Macaca mulatta: one gene and its partners. The protein of the gene in region 1 interacts with the protein of each later gene in a pairwise test. Links are inferred from orthologs where the notes say so. Each region holds a gene or a part of one and is shown in the gene's direction. Other genes may lie near its edges. The genes, in order: UBE2I, SETBP1, MAPK1IP1L, HNRNPC, SETX, PIAS3 and DDX39A.

Evidence for each region.
Region 2: the proteins of UBE2I (region 1) and SETBP1 interact in a two-hybrid assay, tested with the Homo sapiens proteins (2 studies listed by BioGRID). The two-hybrid records come from large-scale screens. The link is inferred for Macaca mulatta from reciprocal best matches to the Homo sapiens genes UBE2I and SETBP1.
Region 3: the proteins of UBE2I (region 1) and MAPK1IP1L interact in a two-hybrid assay, tested with the Homo sapiens proteins (3 studies listed by BioGRID and IntAct). The two-hybrid records come from large-scale screens. The link is inferred for Macaca mulatta from reciprocal best matches to the Homo sapiens genes UBE2I and MAPK1IP1L.
Region 4: the proteins of UBE2I (region 1) and HNRNPC interact in a two-hybrid assay, tested with the Homo sapiens proteins (2 studies listed by BioGRID and IntAct). The two-hybrid records come from large-scale screens. The link is inferred for Macaca mulatta from reciprocal best matches to the Homo sapiens genes UBE2I and HNRNPC.
Region 5: the proteins of UBE2I (region 1) and SETX interact in binary tests that used the Homo sapiens proteins (3 or more experiments, as listed by UniProt). The link is inferred for Macaca mulatta from reciprocal best matches to the Homo sapiens genes UBE2I and SETX.
Region 6: the proteins of UBE2I (region 1) and PIAS3 interact in a two-hybrid assay, tested with the Homo sapiens proteins (2 studies listed by BioGRID and IntAct). The link is inferred for Macaca mulatta from reciprocal best matches to the Homo sapiens genes UBE2I and PIAS3.
Region 7: the proteins of UBE2I (region 1) and DDX39A interact in a two-hybrid assay, tested with the Homo sapiens proteins (3 studies listed by BioGRID, with this or other methods). The link is inferred for Macaca mulatta from reciprocal best matches to the Homo sapiens genes UBE2I and DDX39A.

What each region holds. Positions count from the first base shown.
Region 1 is NC_133425.1:2,512,388-2,516,687, forward strand, and holds the start of UBE2I (SUMO-conjugating enzyme UBC9), read left to right. Parts: upstream 1-1,500; 5' UTR 1,501-1,670; intron 1,671-3,035; 5' UTR 3,036-3,046; coding exon 3,047-3,112; intron 3,113-3,304; coding exon 3,305-3,388; intron 3,389-4,300. UniProt on the Homo sapiens protein: Accepts the ubiquitin-like proteins SUMO1, SUMO2, SUMO3, SUMO4 and SUMO1P1/SUMO5 from the UBLE1A-UBLE1B E1 complex and catalyzes their covalent attachment to other proteins with the help of an E3 ligase such as RANBP2, CBX4 and ZNF451.
Region 2 is NC_133423.1:47,334,648-47,338,147, reverse strand, and holds part of SETBP1 (SET-binding protein), read left to right. Parts: coding exon 1-504; 3' UTR 505-3,500.
Region 3 is NC_133412.1:128,193,152-128,195,991, forward strand, and holds part of MAPK1IP1L (MAPK-interacting and spindle-stabilizing protein-like), read left to right. Parts: intron 1-913; coding exon 914-1,621; intron 1,622-2,840.
Region 4 is NC_133412.1:94,116,737-94,120,940, reverse strand, and holds the start of HNRNPC (heterogeneous nuclear ribonucleoproteins C1/C2), read left to right. Parts: upstream 1-1,404; 5' UTR 1,405-1,576; intron 1,577-2,205; exon of another isoform or gene 2,206-2,251; intron 2,252-4,204. UniProt on the Homo sapiens protein: Binds pre-mRNA and nucleates the assembly of 40S hnRNP particles. Interacts with poly-U tracts in the 3'-UTR or 5'-UTR of mRNA and modulates the stability and the level of translation of bound mRNA molecules. Single HNRNPC tetramers bind 230-240 nucleotides.
Region 5 is NC_133420.1:15,130,863-15,134,362, forward strand, and holds part of SETX (putative helicase senataxin), read left to right. Parts: intron 1-2,935; 5' UTR 2,936-2,942; coding exon 2,943-3,119; intron 3,120-3,500. UniProt on the Homo sapiens protein: Probable RNA/DNA helicase involved in diverse aspects of RNA metabolism and genomic integrity.
Region 6 is NC_133406.1:119,438,376-119,442,471, forward strand, and holds the start of PIAS3 (E3 SUMO-protein ligase PIAS3), read left to right. Parts: upstream 1-1,296; 5' UTR 1,297-1,313; coding exon 1,314-1,337; intron 1,338-3,324; coding exon 3,325-3,742; intron 3,743-3,899; coding exon 3,900-3,984; intron 3,985-4,096. UniProt on the Homo sapiens protein: Functions as an E3-type small ubiquitin-like modifier (SUMO) ligase, stabilizing the interaction between UBE2I and the substrate, and as a SUMO-tethering factor.
Region 7 is NC_133424.1:15,013,197-15,017,437, reverse strand, and holds the start of DDX39A (ATP-dependent RNA helicase DDX39A), read left to right. Parts: upstream 1-1,441; coding exon 1,442-1,649; intron 1,650-1,984; coding exon 1,985-2,112; intron 2,113-3,055; coding exon 3,056-3,148; intron 3,149-3,518; coding exon 3,519-3,702; intron 3,703-4,241. UniProt on the Homo sapiens protein: Helicase that plays an essential role in mRNA export and is involved in multiple steps in RNA metabolism including alternative splicing. Regulates nuclear mRNA export to the cytoplasm through association with ECD.

The sequences.
Region 1 (4,300 bases):
GAGATGAGTGCGGTGGAGTTGTGAGAGGTGAGTGCTTTGCTCACCCTCAGCCAGGAAGTTGCTCGGAAGTCGGTGCTGTCAACCAGCAGAGCAAGGTGGTGATCCGAGAAGCTAAAGCTCAGCCGGTCGCGGGTGCCCAGCAGGACAGAAGGCAGACCTTCAGGCCACTCCTGGAGTGCTTGGCCCTGTCCTGGTTGCTGCAGTGTCTGGGCCTTGCTTGGCTCTGATAGATGAGGGTTGTTTTTGTCTTTGCCTCATATAAGTTCCCTGCTCTGAAGGGTCTAGTAACTGCTAGCCATTCACTTAGTGCTTATCTGTTAATTTGGAAGGGCAAATTCGATTTTCAGCGGGATTTTGAATGCTTCGTCTGTGTTGTGATTACATTGTAACACATTGGCCACTTTCTCCAGGAGGCCAGTAGGAGGGGGAGCAGGGGGAGGGGCCTGGCTTCTGCCTAGGACAGGGTGGGTGTGCACCTGTGGCTCCTTGCCCTGTGGTGCAGTTTCCTGTGAGACCACCCTGTGGTGCTGAGTGCTTTGGGGCAGGGGATACAGCAGCATCAGCCAGACCTTGGCGGGAGGTCTCACAGGAGCACCCTCACGACTTCTCACATCTGAGACAGCAATAGCTAGGTGCTGGGACGGGGGCCTCTAGGTGGCTCTGTCCGGTCTTCAGTAGGAGGGCTACCTGTGGCAGGGTTCCAGGCCTGGCTGGCCTCTCTGGGGCTGGCCTCTCTGGGGCCTGGCCTTGCCTGGCTGTGAGGATCGTGTTGGCCTTGGTCCTTCAGTGTCTGGAGCACTGGCCTGGGGCTTCAGAGACCTGCTTGATTCCTGGCCCCGCTCAGACCCCGGGCACCTGGGAGGTCGTGGCTCCTCAAAACGGCCGTTCACCAGGCTGCTTTGCACCGCACCAGGCACAGGCTGTGGCTACTCATGAAGCCCACCCTGGGGCTGGGGAAGCGAGAGCTGTGAGTCCTCAAGCCACAACTGAGCTGCTCCATGTGGAAGTGGAGGGTGGAGACACGTGCAGAGAGAGCCTTGAAACCGTGGTTGGCGGGAGCTCCACTCCACTCTGGGCTCGAACCCTGCCTGCCCACAGCTGAGCCCAGCTGTGTCCCCCACTTTCTCCCTTTCTGGCCCCTGGCTTCCCCCCACCCCCACTTAGAGAAGGGCATGGGGATGGGCAAGTGGTCCAGAGGGCAGGCGGCCTGCGGGCTCCTCCGCATCCCTGTGAGGAGGGCATGGGGAGGGACATCCCGGTGGGGCCCAGTCTGGGGCTACCTGTCTTGGACTTAATCGTGTAGCTGGAGGCCAGTGCCCGGATGGCCCCTGTCACCCTCTCGCTGTGATGCCAGCACCTACTGACTGGAGGACCCGGGTTCCTTTGCCTGATTTTTCTCAGGCTGCCCTGAGGATCCGTGTTTGGTTAAAAAGGAGCCAAATCCACCTGCAGGGCAGGCGGCTCTAGCAGCCCCGCCTGGCTTCCAGCACCCTGGTTCCCTGGCGACACTGGACCCGCCTGGGCTTCCTTGATCCCAGCCCCACCCCTGATTTCTGCTTTGCTGCCTCGGGAAGCCATCGTGCCGCCCAAAACCCGAATGTGGGCCTCTCGGAGCTCCTTCCTCAATGAGTCTGCTGGGGACTGGGCCTTGCCTCCCTAACAAGTGCCAGGTGAGGCTGCGGCGGCTCTGGCCCAGGTGGAGCTGCTGACCTGGCCCCTTCCTGCAGCTGTGAGGTGTGTGAGGTTCGTGGGCCTGCACAGGTGCGGGCGCCATCCAGGTCACCAGGGCCCTTGTAGGGACGGCCCCCCACGGTTTGGAAGGCCTGGCGCAACCCCCAGCTTTGTCGAGGTGGCCCTTGCTTGGCGCTGAGATGCCAGACTTGGAGGCAGCTTCAGTGTTCCCGTGGACTTTGAAAACCAGCACACACTTGGGCTTGAATTCTCTGGCAGGTTTTGTGCCCTGAGTGCTGTTTTTCATGGTAAAGGTGACCACCAGTAGGGTGACAGGTGAGGCTGGTGTCGAGGCTGCTGGCCCTGTTTGCCTGGTGTCCCCGGGGACAGTGCGGGCCGACAGGCTCCCGCTGGGAACCAGAAGGCAAAGGTGCCAAGCCCCTGAGGTCCCGTGGAGAAGTGTGGAGCTGGAATCTGGCGTGTGTGCCGCTGCCTCTGACCAGGGACCTGGTCCCGTACCCCATGCTCCTGCCCTGCCCCACAGGACCCGTCTGTCCCCTGAAGCCACAGGGACATGCTAGCGGCTGCAGGGTCCGGGAACGGTGGCCCTGTGGGGGGCTCCTCTTTCAGCGAGGCTGAGCCTCTGCCCTGTGGTACTTGTTCCACTCTGTCTTCAACACGGTGAAACCCCATCTCTATTAAAAATACAAAAATTAGCCGGGCATGGTGGCGGGGGCCTGTAGTCCCAGCTACCCGGGAGGCTGAGGCAGGAGAATTGCTTGAACTCAAGAAACGGAGGTTGCAATGAGCCGAGATAGTGCCACTGCACTCCAGCCTGAGGGACAGAGTGAGACTCCATCTCAAAAAAAAAAAAAAAAACAATATTAGGTGTCCCCCTGGCCCGGCTTGAGTCTCAGTTCTGAGCGCCTGATAGTAAGGCGGGGACCCAGATAGTAAGGCTGGGACCCAGCCCTGCCTAGTCCCCACCTGACGGTTCAGTGAGGACCCTGCCACGCCAGCCACCACAGGGTGGCAGCTACCGCCCAGCCACAGCAGCCCAGCCTCTGAACATCCGTCTCCACCGTGGAGCAGAGGCCGCGGCACGTGTCGCAGACCAGGGCTCGGGGGGCCCATGGGGAAGGGGTCCTACCTGTCCCCCCACCCCCGGTGATCTGGGATCCACTCATGAGGCCTCCCCTGGTAGACCCCGGGGTCGGACGACGGCTTCCAGGAGGAGAGTCTCTGCTGGGCTGGGCTGGCGCCTGTTAGGAGCAAGACTGCCCACTGCGGGCCGTGTGCACGTGGCGGGGCCGCAGGAGCCCGCTAGCCTGTCCTGACCCCGTGCTCTGCCTCCTGTGTTCCAGGGACTCTGAACATGTCGGGGATCGCCCTCAGCAGACTCGCCCAGGAGAGGAAAGCATGGAGGAAAGACCACCCGTTTGTAAGGAGGGCTTCGTTTCCGTGTGCAGTGCCGCGGACGGCCCCCCTGGGCTGAAACCGTGCCCCCCACCACTGGGAGGGAGCTGGCCGCGTGCCTGGGTCGCGCTGGTGGGGCTCGCGGGCCGGTTCTCGGTGGTTTTGGTCAAACGAGATGCCACCGCACTGATGTGCTTTTGTGGTTGTTTTCTCTCAGGGTTTCGTGGCTGTCCCAACAAAAAATCCCGATGGCACGATGAACCTCATGAACTGGGAGTGCGCCATTCCAGGAAAGAAAGGGGTAAGAGGCGCGCGCTGCTAGCCTCCTGCCTGTCGGGGCTCAACAGATGCGTGTGGCAACGCCACGGGGAAACTGCTCAGCCCCTGCCGTCTGTGACGGCCGCCCTTGTCACGGGCTGCGGACAACAGGTCAGATCCCCAGCTGTGGCCTGGCCCCCGCCCCGTGCGGACTTGAGCTCAGAAGGTGGTGCTGGCAAGGTTGGGGTGACAGCTGTGTCCCCACCGAGGGCATTTCTGGTTGAGAAGGAAGCAGGCTGGGCACAGGGCTGAGCTGTGGCAGAGGGGAGGGGCTCTGGTGTGTGTTGGGAGCAGGCCTGAGGGCGGGCAGCCTTTGCAGGCTGGAACCCGGGATTCTGCTGTGTCCTTCCAGGTGTGGCTCAGGTCACGGTAGCTGGGTTTGCTGGAGAGCCACCCTGGCGTAAAGCCGCCTCCTGGAGAACCTCCTGGGGCACAGGGACTGGCGACAGCAGCCTAGGATGCCTGCTTGGGGCCCCCTGTGTGTCTGTGGGGAGCAGGGCGGCCTGTGTGCCTGTCGTCTTTGCCCGGCTCCCGTGAAGCACTTGGCCGGGGACTCCAGGCTGGTGTGCACATAAGGTTCATGCTGGTGAACCCTGAAGGAAGGAGAGAGCCCTGAGGTGCTGGTCCTGCCCGAGGCCTTGTTCCCTCCGGCCCATGCCACCCTCTGGGTTTCACTCTGAAACTCAAAGCAGCTTCGGTCCCCCTGAGCTGAGCAGTCCCAGCAGGTCTCAGCTTTGCCTGAGACATGGTGTCACTTGGGTTTGTCGCTTGTCTGAGGCTCTGCTGAGAACGTCCCTTGCTCTTCACGTCACGGCGACGCAGGTGTGCGGCCCCGAGGAAGACGGGAGTGGTGTCGGATTGTGGGGTGGCAAAGGCGCCTCATCCAGGCAGGATC
Region 2 (3,500 bases), on another chromosome or scaffold:
GTGAACAAGATCCTGAAGGCCAAGCGGCTGCAGAGACAATCAAAAACAGGCAACAACTTCGTGAAGAAGAGGCGCGGGCGTCCCAGGAAGCAACCCACCCAGTTCGATGAGGACTCCAGAGACCAAATGCCGGTGCTGGAAAAATGCATCGACCTGCCCAGCAAAAGGGGCCAGAAGCCCAGCCTGAGCCCGCTGGTGCTGGAGCCCGCCGCCAGCCAAGACACCATCATGGCCACCATCGAAGCGGTCATCCACATGGCCCGGGAGGCGCCGCCCCTGCCCCCGCCACCCCCACCGCCCCTACCGCCACCGCCGCCACCGCCCCTACCCCCACCACCCCCTCTACCCAAGACCCCCCGAGGCGGAAAGAGGAAACACAAACCGCAGGCCCCCGCTCAGCCCCCGCAGCAGCCGCCCCCGCAGCAGCCCCTTCCCCAGGAAGAGGAGGTGAAAGCCAAAAGGCAGAGGAAGTCCCGAGGGAGTGAGAGCGAGGTCCTTCCCTAGGGCGGGTCTGGGCGTCTGCACCTGGGGCCTAGGGAACTGATACGTGGAAAGCGCAGTGGGCGGGGGCGGAATCCCCGGCTGCAGGGACACCCACGCCCTTCTCTCCAGAAGCCGGGCAGGCAGAATCCGGCCAGACGACGGGCTGAGCCATCAGGAGCTCTAAGGAAAGCAAAGCAGGGAGACACCTTCAGAAGAAGCTTGTCAGCTTCACCGCAGCTCCCACCACGCGGCGCTTCAGTACGGCTGGATCGTCCGCAGGCGAGCGGAAGGCCCCCAGGAGGAGCAGGATGGTGGCGCTCTCCTGACCTCCCGCTGCCAAAGTGCGCCCTCGACTCCGATTTCATTTGCTGGCCAGGAAAATCGAAAGGGAAACACCCTCAATTAGGAAACATTCCAAGGGGAGAAAAGCTGCAAATTGCTCAACTGGCATTGCTGTAACCCGTTCCATTTAATTGGTTTTTATTTCTTTTGATTTTCAAGCTCTGCTAAGCTTTGGGGTACCAACGTCATCTTCAGGTGACCTGAATCTTTCCCTTAACCGTACAGTTTCTCAGATGGAATTGTGTGATCAGAAGGTGGAGTTCTAGTGATAGGCGACCTTAGACCCGCATTCATGTTCTGTGTGCCTCTTCTGTCGCACATACACTGATTTTTAGCGTTGTCTATTCCTACTTTTCCTTTGCCCGTTGTACTTCCATATATCTTTTCATTGACGTACTTGCTGCTTTTTTTTTTTTAATCTTGGTACACATTTAAATAATACAATTCTTAACCTGTGCTGTAAAGTTCAACCTTGGCATGCTGTTCCAAGAACCTGGCTTTGAATCCCAATCATTGTGAAACATACTCAGTATTGATAAAACCTTTTTAATAAGTTACGCAGAGCAGCCAAGGATATGTTGACCCAGATGTCAACCAGGCTATTTTTATACTTAAAACATGTCAGCAGAGCAGAGGCAGAATAAAATGGTTTTAATACCCCACAGCAAATAGAATAACTTGACAAGCCACCAAAAACTGACACCCCAGACCCACCAGAAAGACAAGTGTCTAGCAATGCCCTGGTACCTGATCTTTTTCATACGAATAATTGTCATAGGTTGTTCAAAAAAAAAAAGGAAAAAAAGGAAACAAAAAGACAATAGAAGAAGTCCATTATCCCTGGATAATTATTTCTTAAAAGCAAATGGGAGTAAGTGTTCTTATCTGGAAAAATAAATAAATAAAATGCTCAAAGGGTATCACCACTTCAATTATATCAAGCCACCTTGGACAAAGTATCCAAATTGTGGTTGCCTTAAATAAACTAAAACATTATTGTACATAATGTAATTATAAATCTATCAGTCTGCATGGATGCAAACTGTGTGTGACAAATCGTCTTTTAAATGGTCAATTTCAGCTGTACATTTCTCATCCAAGTTGTACTCTAACCATTGGTTTAGCGTGGACAGATATTCCATCTCTATTATCCATTTCCACAGCCCGAATAAAATATGTTAAGCAGGCTCAGAATGAATACGAAGAATTCCATTTCCGTAGATGTTTTCTAAAAGTCAGATTGTGGAAATTTCAAATAAGTATTTTCAATTTCCTCCCTCACTCCCCCTTACCTTCCCCAAGACATCAAACACCTGGCATGGTAGATTATAGAAAGAGACACTGAGAGAGAGAATTAAATTTTCTAATGGGAATTAGAATATCTGGTTTACCTCCAAATTAAGTTTCTTTACGGGAAGTTGGGACCAGCTGGAAATTGTATTATCATTTCAGAACACAATATTATTTCCTTAGAGAGAGAGAGGGATTTTTGTTGGCAACATAAGAGAATAAGTGATGGGGTATCTATGTGAGTAAATTTTTAAATTCCAAGTTAATGTGCTTGCAAACATTACTGCTCCGTTATGGCACCAAGATTTGGTTGAAATTACCCACATAGTCATACTATTGTGCTCTGTCACCATGGACTTCACATCATTTGCTGCCCGCTAGGTCAGTCGCATTTAATACTAGCAATATGTAAGTTTAAAGGACGGCATTCCCCTCTACTTTAAAGCTTATATTCTAGATACTCAGTTTGTGACCTTGGTTGACCTTTGGCATTTCACACAAGTTAAACAGCAAAATCAAAGCAGCCATTTTTAATTCGTCATTCCCAAGCCCTGTCTGAGTGGTTCCAAAGTCACCTGAGAGGAAGGTTTAAATTAGCCCCTCTCACCCCACCATTGCTAAGAAACAGCAACCATTTTCATTCCAATTCAGCCATAAAGAGGTTTCTCTTCCTGGGTTTTGAAATCATTTCCTTCTTTCTTTCGTTTGCCCTTCCTCCTTCCTGTGTTGTACTGTCTCTCCAGCCACGTCTATAAGCAGACTCAACCTTCTTGCAGAGGAAGATGAGCTGGCACTCTGCAAACTTCTTTAATAAGGACCCAAAGTTTAATTGACATTAACCTCTAGTAGGTGAGAAATTCCAAAAAAGCTTTGGGGTACATTAGAATTTCCAAAGCCCTGAAAGATATTTCAGGAGATTTAACAGCAGAGTTGCAACTTACACGTGAATTCTGGTCTATAGTGGTCATGTGAGTTAAATTCGAATCCCCTACTTGTATGACCCTAGGAATAGACTGGAATACTGCAGAGGACCAAAGCTGAGGCATGCGAAACAGCCGCTTGGAGGCGGAAGCAAGTTCGGTCACCTACACAGCTTCCTCTCTCCACCACCCAGTTCCTCTCTCAGTATCACATTATGTTATTCTGCTTTTCATTTACCTAACTCATCAGTACAACCATTTCCTTATTCTCTAACTACCCCCAATTCCTTTAGCCTCTCCCCACCTGTCCAAACTCAGCTCAGCCGTGGGCCAATGCAGCTTACAGACAGTTGGCAGTTGGTTGCAGAGCTGGGAAGAAAACCCAACTCTCCTGACCCTGATGGTGGAGGTCTCTGGGCCCCCCAACACTGTCTTCTGGGTGGGGCTGCTTTTTTTTTTTTTTTT
Region 3 (2,840 bases), on another chromosome or scaffold:
AGTTTATCTGTGATAAGTTTTTCATCTCTTAAGAAAAACAACGTGGTCCTAACTGGCCTTCGTAAATCTTTTCACTTAAAAGAGATGCTTTAACCAGGCGCGATGGTGTGCACCTGTAGTCCTAGCTCCTTGGGAGGATCCCTTGACCCCACGATTTCCAGGCTGCAGTGAGCCATGATCGTGCCATTGCACTACTGCCTGGGCGATAGAGTGAGACTCTGTTTATAAATAAATAAAAGAGATGCTTTTTGTGATTCTTGGCTTTGGGGGTAGGAGAGGGATTTTGATAGGTGATTTGCCTTGGTGATTTGCCAAACATGGAGATAATAGCATGTTTGGAAATGTTTCCTATATTTCTTTATGAATCCTTAAATGAAAATTTAAGATGTTACTTCTATTCTCTTTTACCCTGATAGTATTAGTAGCCAACATTTATTGGAAATTATTATATACCAGGCACTGTGTTAAGTGTACTACATGAACTATCATATTTAAGCCTCAAATTAACCCTAAAATAGTTTTTGAAACTGAAGAAGCTCTATCTCAGAGTATGTAGCTCCTTTGAGGTTAAGCCAGGATTCAAATCCATACCTTGACTGTTAGTTCTATCTTCTTAATTACTGTACTTTGTTATATTAATACAGCAGAGAAATGAAGCACAATATGATTAGTTGTATTTAGAAAACGAGCTTCTCTGAAGAACTTGCACTGTAAAGTTGATATTCAAAGTTAACACCTCAAGTTTTATGTTAAATCGAGTACGTTTTAAATGACTAGCTTAGCTTTTGAAGATGTTCTTGAGGTTTATAATCCCTGGCCCTGTAGGTTACTGTTCTTTGTGGGTTTATAATGGTGTTTGGTATAACTTTTCTCTTGATAAGATAGATAAGATGTTATCTGTTTTGTGTTCCAGTTGGCAGATGCACTACCTGAACACTCCCCTGCCAAAACCTCTGCTGTGAGCAATACAAAACCTGGCCAACCTCCTCAAGGCTGGCCAGGCTCCAGCCCTTGGAATAATCCGAGTGCTCCACCTTCGGTGCCATCTGGACTCCCACCAAGTGCAACGCCCTCCACTGTGCCTTTTGGACCAGCACCAACAGGAATGTATCCCTCCGTGCCTCCCACCGGACCACCTCCAGGACCCCCAGCACCCTTTCCTCCTTCTGGACCATCATGCCCCCCACCCGGTGGTCCTTACCCAGCCCCAACAGTGCCAGGCCCTGGCCCCACAGGGCCATATCCTACACCAAATATGCCCTTTCCAGAGCTACCCAGACCATATGGTGCACCCACAGATCCAGCTGCAGCTGGTCCTTTAGGTCCATGGGGATCCATGTCTTCTGGACCTTGGGCACCAGGAATGGGAGGGCAGTATCCTACCCCTAATATGCCATATCCATCTCCAGGGCCATATCCCGCTCCTCCTCCTCCCCAAGCCCCTGGGGCAGCACCACCTGTTCCATGGGGCACCGTTCCACCAGGAGCCTGGGGACCACCAGCACCATATCCTGCCCCTACAGGATCGTATCCCACACCAGGACTCTATCCTACTCCCAGTAATCCTTTCCAAGTGCCTTCAGGACCTTCTGGTGCTCCACCGATGCCTGGTGGCCCCCATGTGAGTGTTCAATTTGTTATTTAAAGTGTACTAATTGTACATAGCACAACTGAAAGATTGTTTCTCCCCAGTTTTGGATGGAAGATTAAGAAGGCTTTTAAGTTTTTAAAAGAGGGTGTGTGTATATTAAATGAGTAAATTTCAAACCTTCAGGTAAAGCATTTAAAAGGATGAAAGCAGTATTTTAAGTATCCCTTGTGCTAAAAAGAAAAATTTTCCAAAGATCCCCAAAGACTTTGTAATGTAGTAAGCAGTGTCCCTCAATAGCATCCTTTAGTTAAACTCTGAGATTCACTGGGCTTTTTGTTTTATTATTATTATTTCTCAGTATCGTTTCATAGCATCACACCAAAGTATAGTTCAGTAAAAGCAGTCTCTACCTGTCTAGCTTGATAGAGGTAGATTTTTAGAGAATCCAAGCCAGTGAGTAGGTAATGTTGCCCATCTTTCAAGCAATTCTCGAGCTCGGGATTGTACCCCTATTCTTTATTGTCAGTTACATGTAATGCTTTATGCTTTACTGTCAGACAAGCCAGAGTGGGGTTAACATCTTAGTTGAGGAGCCTGCCTTGGTCATATAACCGAATGGAAAAGTACCCCATTTCCCCTGTGAGGTAAGCCAAGCGAGTATCCAAACGCAGAAGATTTTCCTTAGGAAAAAAAAGTCTGTTAACTGGTTTGGTTTTTTTGTTTGTTTTTTTTTTTTTTTTGAGACAGTCTTGCTCTGTCATCCAGGCAGCAGTGCAGTGGTGCGGTCTCTTGGTTCACTGCAATATCTACCTCCCAGGTTCAAGCAGTTCTCTTGAGTAGCTGGGATTACAGGCGTGCGCCACCACACTGGCTCATTTTTTAATTTTTAGTAGAGATGGAGTTTCACCATGTTGGCCAGGCTGGTCTTGAACTCCTGACCTCAAGTGATCCGCCCGCTTCAGCCTCCCAAAGTGCTGGGATTACTGAGCCCACCGTGCACGACCAGAAAAAAAAAATCTGTTAACTCTTAATACACAAATAACTAGTCAGATCTCTGATTAGATTAGTCAAACATCCACTCCAGCTATAAAGGAAAAGAAATCTTTAAAGTACCCCCAAAACTTCCTCCTTGCATTAGTGTAATTTCTTGCTATATATATTATCTAAAAATATTTGTTTTGCAAAGTGTACGCCAGAGTAAGTGATGTGACTTGCTGTTTGGATTTATTAAGCAATAAATTTACTTTAA
Region 4 (4,204 bases), on another chromosome or scaffold:
CGCCTTAAGGAGCAGCGATATGCCGGGCGCGGTGGCTCAAGCCTGTAATCCCAGCACTTTGGGAGGCCGAGACGGGCGGATCACGAGGTCAGGAGATCGAGACCATCCTGGCTAACACGGTGAAACCCCGTCTCTACTAAAAAATACAAAAAAAAAACTAGCCGGGCGAGGTGGCGGGCGCCTGTAGTCCCGGCTACTCGGGAGGCTGAGGCAGGAGAATGGCGGGAACCCGGGAGGCGGAGCTTGCAGTGAGCTGAGATCCGGCCACAGCACTCCAGCCTGGGTGACAGAGCGAGACTCCGTCTCAAAAAAAAAAAAAAAAAAAAAAAAAAAAAGGAGCAGCGATAGGACACCGCGGCCGCCAATCAACCTCAACTGGAGGCAGTTGCACTCCAGCCTGGGCGACAGTGACTCTGCCTCAAAAAAAAAAAAGAAAAGAAAAGAAAAAAGAAAAAAAAAAAAAAAAGAAATGGCTCCCTTAGTAGAGCTGATGCTAATCCACTGTGTGCGCAGTTCCTATAATGTAACCAGAAGGACTGGCAGGTGACGGGGGTACGTAGGAGACAAGCCATTTTAAGAGGAGGGAAATTAAGGGAGCAGATTCGGAGGGATGGGCCAATTTTACTGGCACTTAAGATATTAGTGAGATGACTTGGGCCAGAGGCCGGGATTTTGCACTTCATTTACTTTTCATATTGGAGAGGAATAAGGAAGTCAGTTGGTTTGGATGGAATATGTGTTGTCTGAAGAAGGGTTTAATAGGCTGAGAAGCAGAGATGTCTACGAGGTAGCTGACATTCGAATCTGGACCTGAGAAAGGCTCTCGGGTTGGAAAAACGGCAGGGCTGGTTAGTTTTCTACACACTTTAACACGGCCTAGTCACCGCTGCTCCCTCCTCATTTTAAGTAAAGTTCTTTCTTTATTCATATTGCACGCCGGAGGCTTCATTTCGCGCTTTTTTTCTCCTAGGCCCGGGGCTAGGGCAAGTCCTTTGCGCCCGTCACCTAACAACGCCCCTCAAGCCCTTCCCCGCCCCCGCGCCGCCGGAAATCCGAGGTCTGAGCGAACCTTTTACTAGGCACTCTAAGGAGCAGCGATAGGACACCGCGGCCGCCAATCAGGCCTTCCAGATACCCGGATGTGAGACGGTGCGCGATACAAAGGCGAGTTTCCACCCAGAGGGTCGTCCGGTGCAATAGCCAATAAACATTCCCCAGACGATAAATGACAGGAAAATTAACCAGTTACAAACTAGTTTCTCTCACGCATGTGGAAATTCTTCTGCTTAGTCTAACCCACTGCCAATTGTGACTGGATATCATTGTGAGAAGCGGTTGAACTGTCTAATTAGGAGCGGGAGCGAAAAAACACACAGCCAATAGGAAGATTCTTAGGGATGGGGCGGGGACTAGGCCTTCGCCTCGGCGGCAGAGGAGACTCGGGGGCCATTTTGTGAAGAGACGAAGACTGAGCGGTTGTGGCCGCGCTGCCGACCTCGACCTGCAGTCGGTTTCTTCACGCCGAATCCGGGAGTAGGAGACTCAGAATCGAATCTCTTCTCCCTCCCCCCTCCTGGTAAGTGGAGAGGGCGGACGCAGGGAAGGCGCTGGGTTTTTTGGGAAGCTAGAGGGGGTGTGGGAGAGAATATGAGGGAACCCTTCCCCCTAACTAACCGGGCCCTCATTTATTCTGTTTGTTTTGGGGGATTAGGTCTGAAGCGGGAGGCGGTTTTACAGGCCTCAGCCTCTGCGTAGGTTTAACCTGGTGTCCTCTGGGCCACGATCGCCAGGGAAAATGCCCTTTTTTCGCTCTTCCTGTGTTAACGGCTGCTTTCCTTTCATTTTCTACGACCGCGAGGACTCCGGGATCCTGAAAATGAAGATCGCGATGTTCATTAATATAGTCGAAGTTAACATAGCGCCGATGCCTTCTATTACCTCGGTTCTTCTTACATGTAAAAATTGGGGGAGGGGGAGGGGGAAGGTTACCAAGTAGATGTATCGCGAGCCTTTAAATCCTGGATCGTGCCGCGTGGCCTATGAGAAAGGTTTAACAAAAGATTTAGCATTTTACTGATAACTTTTTATTTTATTCCTCTCTATGAGCAAATAATGGAGCTCGAAGTAGTTATTTTCACTTACGTTTGTAAAAGGAAATATTGTGTATAACTATATTAATAATTACAGCTGACTTTTCATCTGCAGGTTACAAAACACTTGAAATATATAAGTTAGTGGAACTTTGCTTGAGGTAGGTATTAACTCTCTTTCTCAGACAGAAACTGAGGCAAAGTGTTGATTGCTAGGGTCATAATTAAGTCAGTAGCAGAACTACTAAGGAATTTGACCACGAGGTCAGTCGAGTGGTTTTTACCTGGTTAATGGAATACCGGGTTCTAAAAGTACAATATTTGAATCTTTGCAAGAACCTGATGACGGAAACCACGAGGTAACTGGAAATTCCCAAATTGCGCTTAAGAAAAATACTACGAGACTTGAGAATTTGTTGTTAACGTAACTTCCTAAGTGTAAGATGACAAAATTTGACTTTCGGGTTATTCTGATGTTAATTTTCCCGTCCACCTAAACTTGGGCAAAAATTCACAGCTACATTTTATTAAGCAAATATTAACAGTGCTGTTATTTGCTCGGTGCTGAAATTTGATAAAAAACTTGTAAGTTAAAGTTACAGATCTTTAGTGTCACGTTCACTTATCTGGGAAATCGGTTTTTTAAATCCTCACATGAGATTTGGTTATTTTTTACAATCTGTTAATTTCACAAAAACTAAAGCTGTTAAGCACAGTTTAAACCAATTCTGCCGGGTAAGAAATTTATCTGTAAGGCAACCTATTTGATAGGAAGTAAAATAAGGGTCAAAAACATCGCGACCCCTTTAAGTTTAAATATATTATTACAGGAACTTAAAACTAAAGTTTATCATCGTGCTAAACTGTTAGAAATGAGGTAAAGGCAAAAATAGATTAATGGGGAAATCATGTAGTAAAAATGTTGGCAATGAGAAATGTCAGAAGTTAGTATTTAAGAACAGTTGATAATAGCTGAAATTGATTGACAGGCACTTTTCTTTGCCTTTGAGGTGTTAGAAATACGGGTTCCTTCCGATCAGTATGTATATCAGATCAGTATGTATATCAGCGTACCAAAAATTCTTTAATATCAAGAACTGTTTGCCACGGCATTTATATCACAATTCCAGGTGTGTTCTCAACTGGATAGGCATTTAGTAACATTTTCGTATTGGCTAGCGTATTGGCTAGGGGGAAAAGTTGAAGGATGGCCAGGTTGCAGGTTTTCTGACCTTTTTTTCCCCCCATTCGTGTGCCACTCTTGGGAATACTTGGTAGTTGATGTTCCTTCTGTGGAGAATTTAAACAGCTTACGTTTGTAATTAAATCTCTTAGAGGATTTGACATGGCATTCGACCTTGTTTTGGATGGAATGGCAGTGCGACACAAAGAATAAACTCAAATAGCTAGTTGCTCTAATTTTAAAGACTAAGGGGCAAATTATTAAAACTTAATATTAAGTGTTGAATGTGAGGTGTTGAATAGGGAGTAAGTTTGCCTAGGAGGAGAAATAGATTTTAATCCTCCTTGCTTAAATAAGAGGACTTAGACTTTTTTTTTTTTAACTTATTTGAATTTTTAGTTTCTAATTCAAATTTTTCGTTGCCAGAAGACTAAAAACTGTACAGATGCAGTCTTTTTAAAGCAGTTTTTTTTTTTTTTTTTTTTTTGAGACGGAGTCTCACTGTTGCCCCAGGCTGGAGTGCAGTGGCACAATCTCGGTTCACTGCAGCCTCTGCCTCCCGGGTTTGAGCGATTCTCCTGCCTCAGCTTCCCAAGTAGCTGGGATTACAGGCGTGCGCCACCACGCCGGGCTGATTTTTATATTTTTAGTAGAGACGGGGTTTCACCGTGTTGGTCAGGCTGGTCTCACTTCTGAGATCAGGCAATCCTCGTGCCTCCGCCTCCCAAAATGCTGGTATTACGCAGGTGTGAGCCACGGCACCCGGCCCCAGTTTTCTAAATTAGTAGTAGTTACTACTATTCTTAACCACATTATTTCAGTCTTCAAATAATTAGTAGTTGTCTCTGGGGAGCATTATTTGCTCTTAATATGCATATTCTTGTATTCTCATTGGAAATGGGAAGCTTTTGGTTTTGTGTATACTACATTT
Region 5 (3,500 bases), on another chromosome or scaffold:
GTGGGAGGTAGTGAATCTAAACTTCCGGATGTTTAGCTGAGAAGTGTATTTGAAGTTTCTGGCCTAAGGATAAGTCTGTAGAAAGTTACAGTTATACCTATGGTGAAGCATCCTATATTTTTGGTTTTGACACATTACCTCTCTTTTTGGTGGGTGCTCAGAGAGTTGCTTTAATTTTGGTTTTGCAGCTTGAGCATTGTCTGGACACACCCATTTGTCATTCAGTAATGATTCCAAGCGGTTACAGTCTGATGAAACTAACAAAATAGACCTCAAGAAGAACTGAGTTGTACAAAAACTTAACAGGATTCACAGTAGTTTAGAAGCAATTATTTTCTCCCTAAAAGACAAAATATGCCCTATTGAGATTTCCTGGGCTTAGCCATTAGGCTAGTGATGATTTTAAGTTTGAAGACAAAACCACACACACAGCCTTTTGAAGAAGAACTACGGAAGCGTATGTTCTCTTGGTGTGCTCTGCAGCAGTGTTCTCCATTATCTTCTAGATGCCACGACACTCACCTATTTTGGTAGTAACTCCCATATGCTTCGAGAAAATTTAGTCTTGCTTTTTCCGTTGTGGAAATAGGCTCTTTTTCTGAGTGAAATAAAAAGCAAATTCTGTAATTTTCTTAATAGAAGGTTTCTTTTGTTGTCTCCTTTGTTAGTAAAGTACACAACATTAAGAGTTTCAAGTAAGGTAAGTGGGAAAAGAAGTACGCAATGTTTTATTTGCATGGTAGTCCCACTTAAGTTTTTTAGATCTTAAATTGACTGCAGTCTGTTAGCTGCTGAGGTCATGCTTAAAACGATGTTTGAGAAACCTCCTTGAAGTTTCACTTTCTGTTCTTACGTCTTCTAAGTTTGCTTTCCATGTCAAACTAGGTCGCCAGAAAAAAACCAGCTTCTGCAAGCTGTTAACTTACTAGTAGTATGATATTAGCCTCTTAGGTATAAGTAATTCTTCTTCTTTTGAATAAAACAGTTTTAAATTCTGCAGAAATATATTGAAGATCTTATCCCATGTTACTTGGCATTTCCTGGTTTGCAGTGCCCCTGTACTAGGACGCCTTAATAAAATGTAATTGAGAGTTAGTGTCAGGAAAGGGTGGTGCTATGCAGCTATCACTGCATACTCTTTTTCTCCCCAACTTCGATGAGAACTGTAACTCATGTTACCCTTTTCGTCTGCTTTCCGGAAGCTCCTAATGTAGAACTTAGTGAAATTAAATTCCTTCTAAAGAAGTTTTGATTTTGTTTTTTGAAATCTCATTTTTAAATGTCCTTTTGTGTATGTACTTTAATGTTGAAAGCTACCCTGAATTTTTTTTAGAACCATGAAGAAAGCATACCCCTTCAAATGCATAAGTAAAAGTAATATTTAATAAATTTTGAGAAATCAATTCATATGACAATGTATTTGCTTATGCATTTCTAAATAATTATTTAATTGTGGGTATAAGAAGAAATTAAAGAATTTTTAGAAATCACTGTATTTTAGGAACTAGCTTTATGCCACAGAAGCCTCAGCAGCCAAGCCTATTTTCTGTTGAGATGTTTTATTTTTCCTGTTGGTAAAGATTATGTATTCTTTTTTTTTTTTTTTTTTTTTTTTTTTGAGATGAAGTCTCACTCTGTCGCCCAGGCTGGAGTGCAGTGGCGAGATCTCGGCTCACTGCAAGCTCCGCCTCCCGGGTTCATGCCATTCTCCTGCCTCAGCCTCCTGAGTAGCTGGGACTACAGGTGCCCGCCACTTCGCCCAGCTAGTTTTTTGTATTTTTTAGTAGAGACGGGGTTTCACTGGGTTAGCCAGGATGGTCTCGATCTCCTGACCTCGTGATCCGCCCGTCTCGGCCTCCCAAAGTGCTGGGATTACAGGCTTGAGCCACCGCGCCCGGTCAAGATTATGTATTCTTAAGTTTAGGGTGATGGTGATACTCAAAAATCTCACACTGCCATGTTTCCCTTCCCACATACCCGATGTCTTCACTTAGGTTTTTTTTTTTTGGAGACAGAATTTCACTCTGTCACCCAGGCTGGAGTGCAGTGGCGCAGTCTTGGCTCACTGCAACCTCGGCCTCCCAGGTTCAAGCGATACTCCTGCCTCAGCCTCCCGAGTAGCGGAATTGCAGATGCGCACCAACAGCTAATTTTTGTATTTTTTTTTAGTAGTGACAGGGTTTCACCATGTTGGCCAGGCTGGTCTCGCACTGCTGACCTCAAGCAAGGCCACCTCGGCCTCCCAAAGTGCTGGGATTGCAGGTGTGAGCCACCGCCTTACTTAGGTGTTTTAACCTCCTTCTAACCTTCTTTCTCCCTGAATGGAGAGTTTTTAAACATTTTTAAAAACTGCCCTCCTGTGAATTTTAATACTACCAATATATTGTGTCTTTCTTTATGTACTGTCTGTTTATCTGAGCTTTATATCTGAAAGAGGAGGACTTTTTCACGTCCCACTAACTAGTTTTAGATCTCTCTGAGGGTGACATCACTCCTGGTGAGGATGCATGAGCTAGGTCCTTTCAATTTATGAAATGAACTTAAGTTCATACTTGGTAACTTTTTTCCCCACTCCAAAATCTGTACTTTGAAAATGTTGATAAGTCTGGGTCTCTGTATATTTTCTGTCAGTACTGTGTAGTTTTGAGCCTTCTCTGTAGCACAACTTTATGTTGCCTTATGATACTTACTCCTTTTAAAATGCTTTCATTTTTCTGAATTTTTCATATGTCAACAATGGAAGGGTTTTTTTTTAGTTTAGTGAGTTCAGTGATTGATCAGCCAGCCAGCAGAAGATTTGGGCTTTAGTGACACATTTTAAATTGAAACCAGGGTCACAAGTTGGAAGTGTACCTGTTCTTGACACACAGACGGTCTGAAGTTGGTTTTCTTCTTGATGTTGTTTTCTTCTTGATGTCGTCTTTTCTGGCTGTAGGTACAGAATGAGCACATGTTGTTGGTGTACTCCAGGTGGTGGTTCCACCGTTGACTTCCTAAAGCGCTATGCTTCCAACACTCCATCCAGTGAATTTCAAACAGCTGACGAAGATCTCTGCTACTGCTTAGAGTGTGTGGCAGAATACCACAAAGCAAGAGATGAATTGCCATTCTTGCATGAGGTAATTTATATCAGATGGGCAATATTTTTCAGAGCGTGACAGCTAGGAAGATAATAAGTTTGAACTCTGTTGGATATTCAGAGAAATGATGATACGATTGCAACTTTGTGGGGGTTTTTTTGTTTGTTTTTATTGTTAGAGATGGAGTCTCTCACTCAGACTGGAGTGCAGTGGAGCGATTATACATATATCATTTTACACATTCGAGTATATTCTTAGGACAAATTCCTGAAAGTGAAAGTGCTGCTCATGATTTTCCATGGGCCACATGGGTTTTCATAGTTTGTTTTGCTAAGTTTTGGAGACAAGGTCTTTGCTCTGTTGCCGAGGCTGGAAGTGCAGTGGTGAGATCACGGTTCACTGCAGCCTCAGCCTTCTTGA
Region 6 (4,096 bases), on another chromosome or scaffold:
AGGGACAGAAAGATTCCTTTTGTTGGCAAGAAAACCCCTCAATTCATCTTCAGCTACACCAAAGGTATGGGGGCTCTGGTGGAGGTACTGTGCAGGGGTATCTGGAGTAGTTACTGTTAGGTACACTTTGGATTCAGTAGCCCAGGCTTTGCCCTAGGGAGAGACAGTTGTCATTTCAAGGAAGACTGCTTTATACGGTCAGACACCTGGTTCACACGGCCTTAGCAGCAGCGTGCCACCACCCCAATCCCACACATAAGCGTGAGGGGTCACAGAGGTAGTGAGAATGATGGGATCCAAGGATCTCATCTCTCCAGATCCACTCACACCAGGAGTTAATCGCTCCAGCGCCAGGCTCTGAGTCCCTCCCTCTCTCGCCCGAGCTCCGCCCCCCTTCCCTCTCGGCGGTCCTGGCGGGCTTCCCGTGGAGGGGGCGGCCCCAGCCCGAGCGCTAGGCCGGGCGGAGCTCCGGCCCGGGCGGAGCCGCGGCCGCCGCGTCCGGCCGCTGGACCGAACTTCTGCCGTGCGGACAGCAGGAGCGGCGCCGAGCCCCATGCCCCCACCTCTCCAGCCCGCCCTCTGAGCCTCCCGAACCCTCTCTCCATTTCCCACAACTGTGCTGGTAAGTCCCGCTCCCCGCACCAAACTTTTTTTGCTGCTGAGTTTGAGTCCTACGATCGGACCACGAGCTGCATTGTAGTTGGTGTTGGGGGGAGGAGGAGAGGGTGAATTGAGTATAGCTGTCTTGAACTGAATGCCGACTCCACGGCTTCCCTAAGACGGATCAGCGCTCGCCCATTTCCCGAGTTGGAAGACCTCTCGATTTTAGTTGCTTAAACTTATGTAGAGATGGAGATGAGGGTTTGCGCTCCAACTTCGCTACCCCCTCCCCCATTTCTCTGAGCTCTAGCAGTTCCCGATACTTTCCCTCCATCTTTCAAGTATCTTTGGCTCTCTAAAAGCTTGTCCCCTCCCAACTCTGCCGTGGCAAAGCCCCCCTCCACCAGGCACTTCGGACCCGCCTCCTCTTCGTTGCCCTAGGGGACCCCGCGATCTTGGGGGCCATAAACTCCCTCCGGGGCTACGCGTCCTGCCAACCCGCCGCAGACGTGTAGCTGCTGGGTCCGCTGTGGAGGGAGGGGCTCAGGCTGGGGCTAGTCCGAAGCCAGGCGGGCGGGGCCGGGAAGGGGAGGTATAGGGGGCCGGACGGGGCGGAGCAGGCGGCATTTGCGGCCGGCGCCGGGGTGGAGAGTTGTGCGCCGGTCCCTGGGCCTGAGCTCCGGCTCCGGCTAGGGCGCCTGCGATGTCTCAAGATGGCGGAGCTGGGCGAATTAAAGGTACCGGCCCCCTCCCCCATCCCCATCTGGACTGATTCCGGCGGTACGCCGTGTCCGGGAAGCGACCGAGACTGGGTGCCGGGGCTCGGGTGGGCGCCGACGACGTGGCAGGCACGGGCTGCTGAGGATGGGAAAGAAGTGGCTGAGAGCGAGGAAGGGGCTGCGGCGGGGCTCCGGGGGCGGGGCTGCGGGGCAGATGTAGGGGTGGGGCCGAGGGGAATTGCAGCTGTTGGGGGCTGAGGCGCAGGGGGCGGGGACGAAGGGTAGAAGTCGGATTTAGTAGTAGGGGCAGTTGTTGGGGTAGGGCCAGGGGGAAAAGCTGCTCTAGAGGCACTGGGGGCGAGTCGATCGAGGCCAAGAGATGCGACAGTAGGGGGCAGATGCAGGGATGGGACCGCGGGGCAGATGTAGGGGAGGCTCCGGGGGAAAGGCAGCTGAAAGGGTAGGGTCTTTGGGGCTACTCTCGGGATCCGAGCTTTGGGAAATACCAGTAGGCGGCTGAGATGCAGGGGGCGGGGCTGTGCGGGCTGATACCTCGAGGGGTGGGGCAGAAGCATCCTGGAGGCTCAGAGGAAGGTCCTGCCTTAGTGAATCGCGATGTTTGGGCAGAGGCAGAGGCATGTGAAACTATGAGATAGAAAGGAGGGAAGTTATAGGGAAAGCTAATGGAAAAAATAAGACAGGACAGAGAAGATAAAGATTGGGAGAAAGAGGAGCAAGTTTCTCATCACATTCCACAAAAGGGGTCCAAGACAAAGCCTCCTGTGAGAAGAATTGTGTAGGGCTAGCAAGCCCTGCCCATGACAGGATCTCCTAGAGATTCACAGAAGGGAGTCCTCCCTCTAAGGAGAGCGCTCCCCTCCTTCTGCCACACAGAGTTTGGAGGGTGACCACGTCTGAGGACATCTCATAGAACCTTAAACCACCGAGTTCATCCCCATGCCTCCTGGTTTTCTTCTGCCCTTTGAAATGGAGCTATGGTCCTGGGCAGTCTGGAGGTCTAGCCACTGGGCCCAGCTACCTTCAGGAAATTTGCGATTCTGTGCCCTGACTCAGAGGCTTTTCCTTCATCCACCCAGGGCCTCTGTTTAGAGCTCTGCCCGCTCCTCTTCCACCCGTGTAGGGGGGCTGTAGGTTGTACAGGAGTATTATTTTCTCTCTGTAGGAGAGACGCCAGATAATGGTTCCTGGCAGATAGAGTAAACAGGCAGGATACTTGGACTCAGTGAATCACTGTTAATCTCCTCAACCTAAGTTTTGGTCCTGTTTCCCTTCCAGAAAAATAGGACTAAGTTGTGGGGAGGGGGCGGTTATATTAATGATTCCAAGAAAGGATCTGGGGGAGTAATGAGCATTGAACCCTGACCTGAAAACCCCGGCCCACAGAAGCTTCAGAGGCTTGGGGGAAATAGCTGAGGAATTAAGGTGGTTTGGAGGGGTGGGCTGAAGGGCACAATCCTCCAGCCACCTGGCCCCTTTCTTCCCCGTGGGGCTGTCTGGCTTGAATCCTCTTGTCTCTCCCTCCTTCTCCCTGTCTCCTATCCTCTTCCCAGGAGGCTGGGATGAGTTTGAGTGTCTGAGAAAGGGCAAGAGAGGAGATAAGCAGCTTAAAGGAGAGTCCAGACTAGAGGCAGGGTTGGAGGCGGGAGGCTGTGTAGACTTGGAGGTGTGTCTGAGGGTGGCTTGCTGTCTGCCATTCCCTGCCCCACTCTGGCCACTTCCAGGCCTGGGGAGACAGACAGTGTTGCTCAAGCTTGGGGTGGGCAGGGGGTGGTGATGATGCTGACCTGATGGTTGCTAAAGTGGGACTGAGATGTCCCTTTGGATAGGTTGACTACCTGGCAGTAATCCACTAGCTGCGAAGCATCATCTTTCCCATCAGTGCTGGAGGGAAAAAGGCACTGCCCACCTGGTAGCTCAGCCCATGTCTTGGCAGGGCAGGCCTGTGCAACGGAGGATTCTCAAGCTTCTCTGTTCTTCTCCACAGCACATGGTGATGAGTTTCCGGGTGTCTGAGCTCCAGGTGCTTCTTGGCTTTGCTGGCCGGAACAAGAGTGGGCGGAAGCACGAGCTCCTGGCCAAGGCCCTGCACCTCCTGAAGTCCAGCTGTGCCCCTAGCGTCCAGATGAAGATCAAAGAGCTTTACCGACGACGCTTTCCCCGGAAGACCCTGGGGCCCTCTGACCTCTCCCTTCTCTCTTTGCCTCCTGGCACCTCTCCTGTAGGCTCCCCTGGTCCTCTAGCTCCCATTCCCCCAACCCTCTTGGCCCCTGGCACCCTGCTGGGCCCCAAGCGTGAGGTGGACATGCACCCCTCTCTTGCCCAGCCTGTGCACCCTGATGTCACCATGAAACCATTGCCCTTCTATGAAGTCTACGGGGAGCTCATCCGGCCCACCACCCTTGGTATGGCTCTTTGTGGTCCCTTAGTCTTCTGGACTCCCTACCTGTTCCCCAGACATTTCTTAGGCTTTAGTCCTATGGGATCAGTGACCTGGGATGGGGGTGATTTCTGTGGCTGCCTGTGCATGGGCTTGGAATAACTGCCCCTTTGTATCCTCAGCATCCACTTCTAGCCAGCGGTTTGAGGAAGCGCACTTTACCTTTGCCCTCACACCCCAGCAAGTGCAGCAGATTCTTACATCCAGGTACATCTCTTCCAGTCTTCCTCCCTCATCCCTGGGGGGTTACCCCTGGACTCTGCTTTCTGACTTTCTTCTCTTCTGCCCTGCGCTTTTCCCTATCCATCCTCTTGTGCCT
Region 7 (4,241 bases), on another chromosome or scaffold:
CCGCGCCTGGCCTGTAAAGCTGTTCTAATTAAAAATAATAATAACAAGGCCAGGCGCAGTGGCTCACGCCTGTAATCCCAGCACTTTAGGAGGCCTAGGCAGGCGGATCACGAGGTCAGGAGTTCGAGACCAGCCTGACCAACATGGTGAAACCCTGTCTCTGCTGAAAATACAAAAATTATCTGAGCGTGGTGGCAAGCACCTGTAATCCCAGCTACTCAGGAGGCTGAGGCAGGAGAATCTCTTGAACCCTGGAGGCGGAGGTTGCAGTGAGCCGAGGTGCCACTGCGCTGCAGCCTGGGTGACAGAGCAAGATTCCGTCTCAATAATAATAAAAAACAGGTGATAGCACATTGGGGCCAGCATGGTAGCATAGGTGAGAACTGGCCAGAGGGCCTTGATGGGATTCACTGCCTCATGGACAGGGATGCTGAGAGAGAAAAAACAGCCATTGAGAGAATGGAATTGCTGTTTCTGGGCTGGGATTGAGTGACAGTGGGGCCAGAAGTGGCTTAGGATCCTCAGCATCCAGCCTCAGGAAGAATTGTATCAGCTGCAGCCCTCTGCTCCACCCCCCACTGGAGTCTGGGGTAGAGGAGGAGGATGAAAGACAATTGTCCTCATGTTTGGGTCCCTTGCACCCAGCAGGCACTTGGTATGCATTAGATTAATAAAGCAAAGAGGTAGGCAGACTTTGTATTAATTCCATTTTCCATCTTCTCAGCTTTATTTTTATTGGCCCAGGCCCAATAGGAGGCCTTTCATGAGAGCACTTAATTATTCCCTTGTGCAGACCACAGAGAGCGGGAGAAGCTGGGGCTGGGCAGATACTGCTTGCTCTCTTGCAAACTTAGTTCCCGCCAGCATCCTGGCAGCCCTACCCCTGGGGTCTTTGGGCTCCTGCCCCATGAAAGCCCAGTGGGTTCCTTGCGGAGTGATAGGGAGGGGGCTTCTCTGGGCTAGGTAGCCCGAGGAGGTTCACTGGAGCTGAGGCTTGCGTGTGGAGAAGAAGGCATTTGTGCAGAGACCTGGGGCCGAGCATTGCTGGTGGTGACAACCGGGTTCAAAGGCTTGGGGCAGGAGTTCCAGGGGTCTGAGCAGCTGAACAAGGCTGGGGGTGGTGTGGGATGAGGTGGGCAGGGGTCAAACCAAGGGGATTGCCTGACCTGTGGTGAGAGTTGGGATTTTAACTCTGCAAGCCATGGGAAGCCCTTGGAGGTGGAGGGTGTTCTGTCTGTGGGTGTAGCAAGCGGGGCATGGGGGAGAGATAGGGTGGCTTGGGGGTGCGGAGGTGAAGACAGGGCGAAGCTACGAGATGCAGCCCAGGTGGAGCTGACAGGCTGGCTTATGGAAGGAGGTGGTAGAGAATGCCGTTTGAATGAAGCTTCATCATCCTTCTGTGCCCACTCGCGGGACCCTGCCTCTCTCTCTTCTCAGCATCATGGCAGAACAGGATGTGGAAAATGATCTTTTGGATTACGATGAAGAGGAAGAGCCCCAGGCTCCTCAAGAGAGCACACCGGCTCCCCCTAAGAAAGACATCAAGGGATCCTACGTTTCCATCCACAGCTCTGGCTTCCGGGACTTTCTGCTGAAGCCGGAGCTCCTGCGGGCCATCGTGGACTGTGGCTTTGAGCATCCGTCTGAGGGTACGCCTTCTGGGTGTCATCCTCTTGCCCAGGTCCTCACCAAGACAAGACCAGCCCTGCCCGCCCAGAGCGGTGCTGCCTCCAGTGTGCCGTGGGTGAGGGAGGGGCCTGCCCGCCCCTTGGATCAGTTGTGCCCAGCAGGGCCTATGGCTGCTCTCAGCACCGGGGTGCTCTGCTTTGACCAGGCAGATACCCTAGCCCTGCAGGTGTCTGTGGCCTTGTCCGGACTTGGCCTTTTCTGATTGCCCTCACTGTGGGCCCCCTGGTCAACTGGTGAGCAGCCTGCACGGGGGTGTGTCCAGGTTCTCGTCTCTCACGCTCTGCTTCTCCTGCAGTCCAGCACGAGTGCATTCCCCAGGCCATCCTGGGCATGGACGTCCTGTGCCAAGCCAAGTCTGGGATGGGCAAGACAGCGGTCTTCGTGCTGGCCACCCTACAGCAGATTGAGCCTGTTAACGGACAGGTGGGTGGGCTTCTTCCTTCCCAGCCCCACCCTACCTGTGGTGGCCGAAGTAGAGGGGCTGGATGAGGTGGCTCACACCTGTTAGCCCATCGCTTTGGGAAACCAAGGCTGGAGGATTGCGTGAGGCCAGGAAGTCGAGGCTGCAGTGTGCTATGATCCTACCACTGCACTCCAGCCTGGGTGACAGAGGGAGACTCTATCTCAAAATATAGAGTAATCAGTTATTACAAAAATCAGAAATTGCCAATAAGCCAAAATAACTGGAAAGTGCCTACAGTTTGCCCCTTGCCCCAGAGGTATTGCTGCTGTTTTGCTGTGCCACCTACCTAGAGAGTGTCCATCTATGAAGGTTGGGTTGCCCCGAATACAGCTGTCACTGCTGTCCTTGCTGTTAGGCCCTGGCTGTCTTCTCCCTTTATCTTGTGTGCCACTATCTTGGGGAGACACTTCAGTGAATTCTGGTGTCTTGCTCCTGAGTCAGGTCGGGTGCACATCTTTGGGCCTCATATTGGCGCCCGTGCGCTTGTTATCTCAGAGCACATCCTGATGGATGAAGGTGCCGTGGAGAGCTGTGGTGTGGTCCAGTGTCTGGTGGCATGGGTGGGAAGACCGGGGCTGGGGCCGCCTGAGTGCCGAGATTCAGGAAATCCTTAAAGAGCTGGGTCCCACGTCACCTGGGCAGGCCAGGTCTAACCATTATGCGGGCCATTTTCTGTTTCTCGTTGCGGGTCCTGGTGTTGGGAGACAAGTTTCAGTAGCTGTGGGAGGGTATAGGGAGTGAGGGTTGGAGAAGGGCCGTGAGAAGGGGGAGGCATTTGGACCGGGTCTTCAAATGGCCTATGATGTTGGGTGCAGTATGTTGGGGGGACTGGGTTGGGTGGACTCTGGTGGGGGAGGGGTTTAGGATACTGCCTGAGGGCCCTTTTTTCGTGCGACTTCCCAGGTGACGGTCCTGGTCATGTGCCACACGAGGGAGCTGGCCTTCCAGATCAGCAAGGAGTATGAGCGCTTCTCCAAGTACATGCCCAGCGTCAAGGTGAGCCCCTCAGGTTGGACTTGGTCAGGCGCCGCTTGGTTTCTGCAGCTTTGTTAGCCTCGGCTCTGGCCCAGCCAGCATTTACCAAGCTTGGCAGGGGCAGCTGCCTTTGAGGTTTGCGGTGGTTTTTGCTCCTTAAAAGCCTGATGAATTATGCATGGCTCCCAGGGGCCTGTGCAGGTCCCAGCCTGGGGCTTCCTTTGAGTGGAGCCCCGGGAGGCTCTCAGGCCTGCCTTGGTCCCCTGAGGCCTCCTGTTCACAGGTGCTGGGGTTGGGTATTAGGTGCCCTCAGGGGCTGCTGGGGCCGAGCTGGTTGGGGCCTTGGGCCAGGTATCAGCATGGAGCAGCTTCCTCCTCCTCCTCCCCATAGGTGTCTGTGTTCTTCGGGGGTCTCTCCATCAAGAAGGATGAAGAAGTGTTGAAGAAGAACTGTCCCCATGTCGTGGTGGGGACCCCGGGCCGCATCCTGGCGCTCGTGCGGAACAGGAGCTTCAGCCTAAAGAATGTGAAGCACTTTGTGCTGGACGAGTGTGACAAGATGCTGGAGCAGCTGGGTGAGTCATCTGCCCTTGCAGCCTCAGCTGGAGAGTCAGTGACTAGGTGGGCCCCATAGCAGGCGGAAGACTCTTGAGTGGGTCACATGGGTGGCTGGCAGGCGGGGCTCCTGTGGTGATCTTAGGGAAAGCTCTGCTGCTGGCAGAGGGACGTGCTGTTTCTGAGCCCGAGCCGAATGGGACCACGGGACCCAAATAAGCCCCCGTCCCTCCTGGACGTAAAGGCACGCGCACATACCTCTAGGAGTGTGAGACTTCTGCCACCTGTTGGGTTGGTTCTAGGCCCCACCTGCCCTCAGGGAGCCTCGACAGGGCCGGTGGGAGATGGGCTTGTGTCCTGGGAGGCAGCTGCAGCTCTCACCCCAGCGGCTGTCTCTGCCTCAGGCTCCCCTCCCTGAAGCGTGTCTCGAGGCGCACGGGCACGGCTGCTCCGCGCCAGCGCGTAAGTGGATTGCAGCTCCTCCCGCGCCTGCGCTCGCTGGCCACCCCCCAGCCCCTCAGGCACCAGGACTGGCCACTCCCGCGGCTCACTCTGCCCT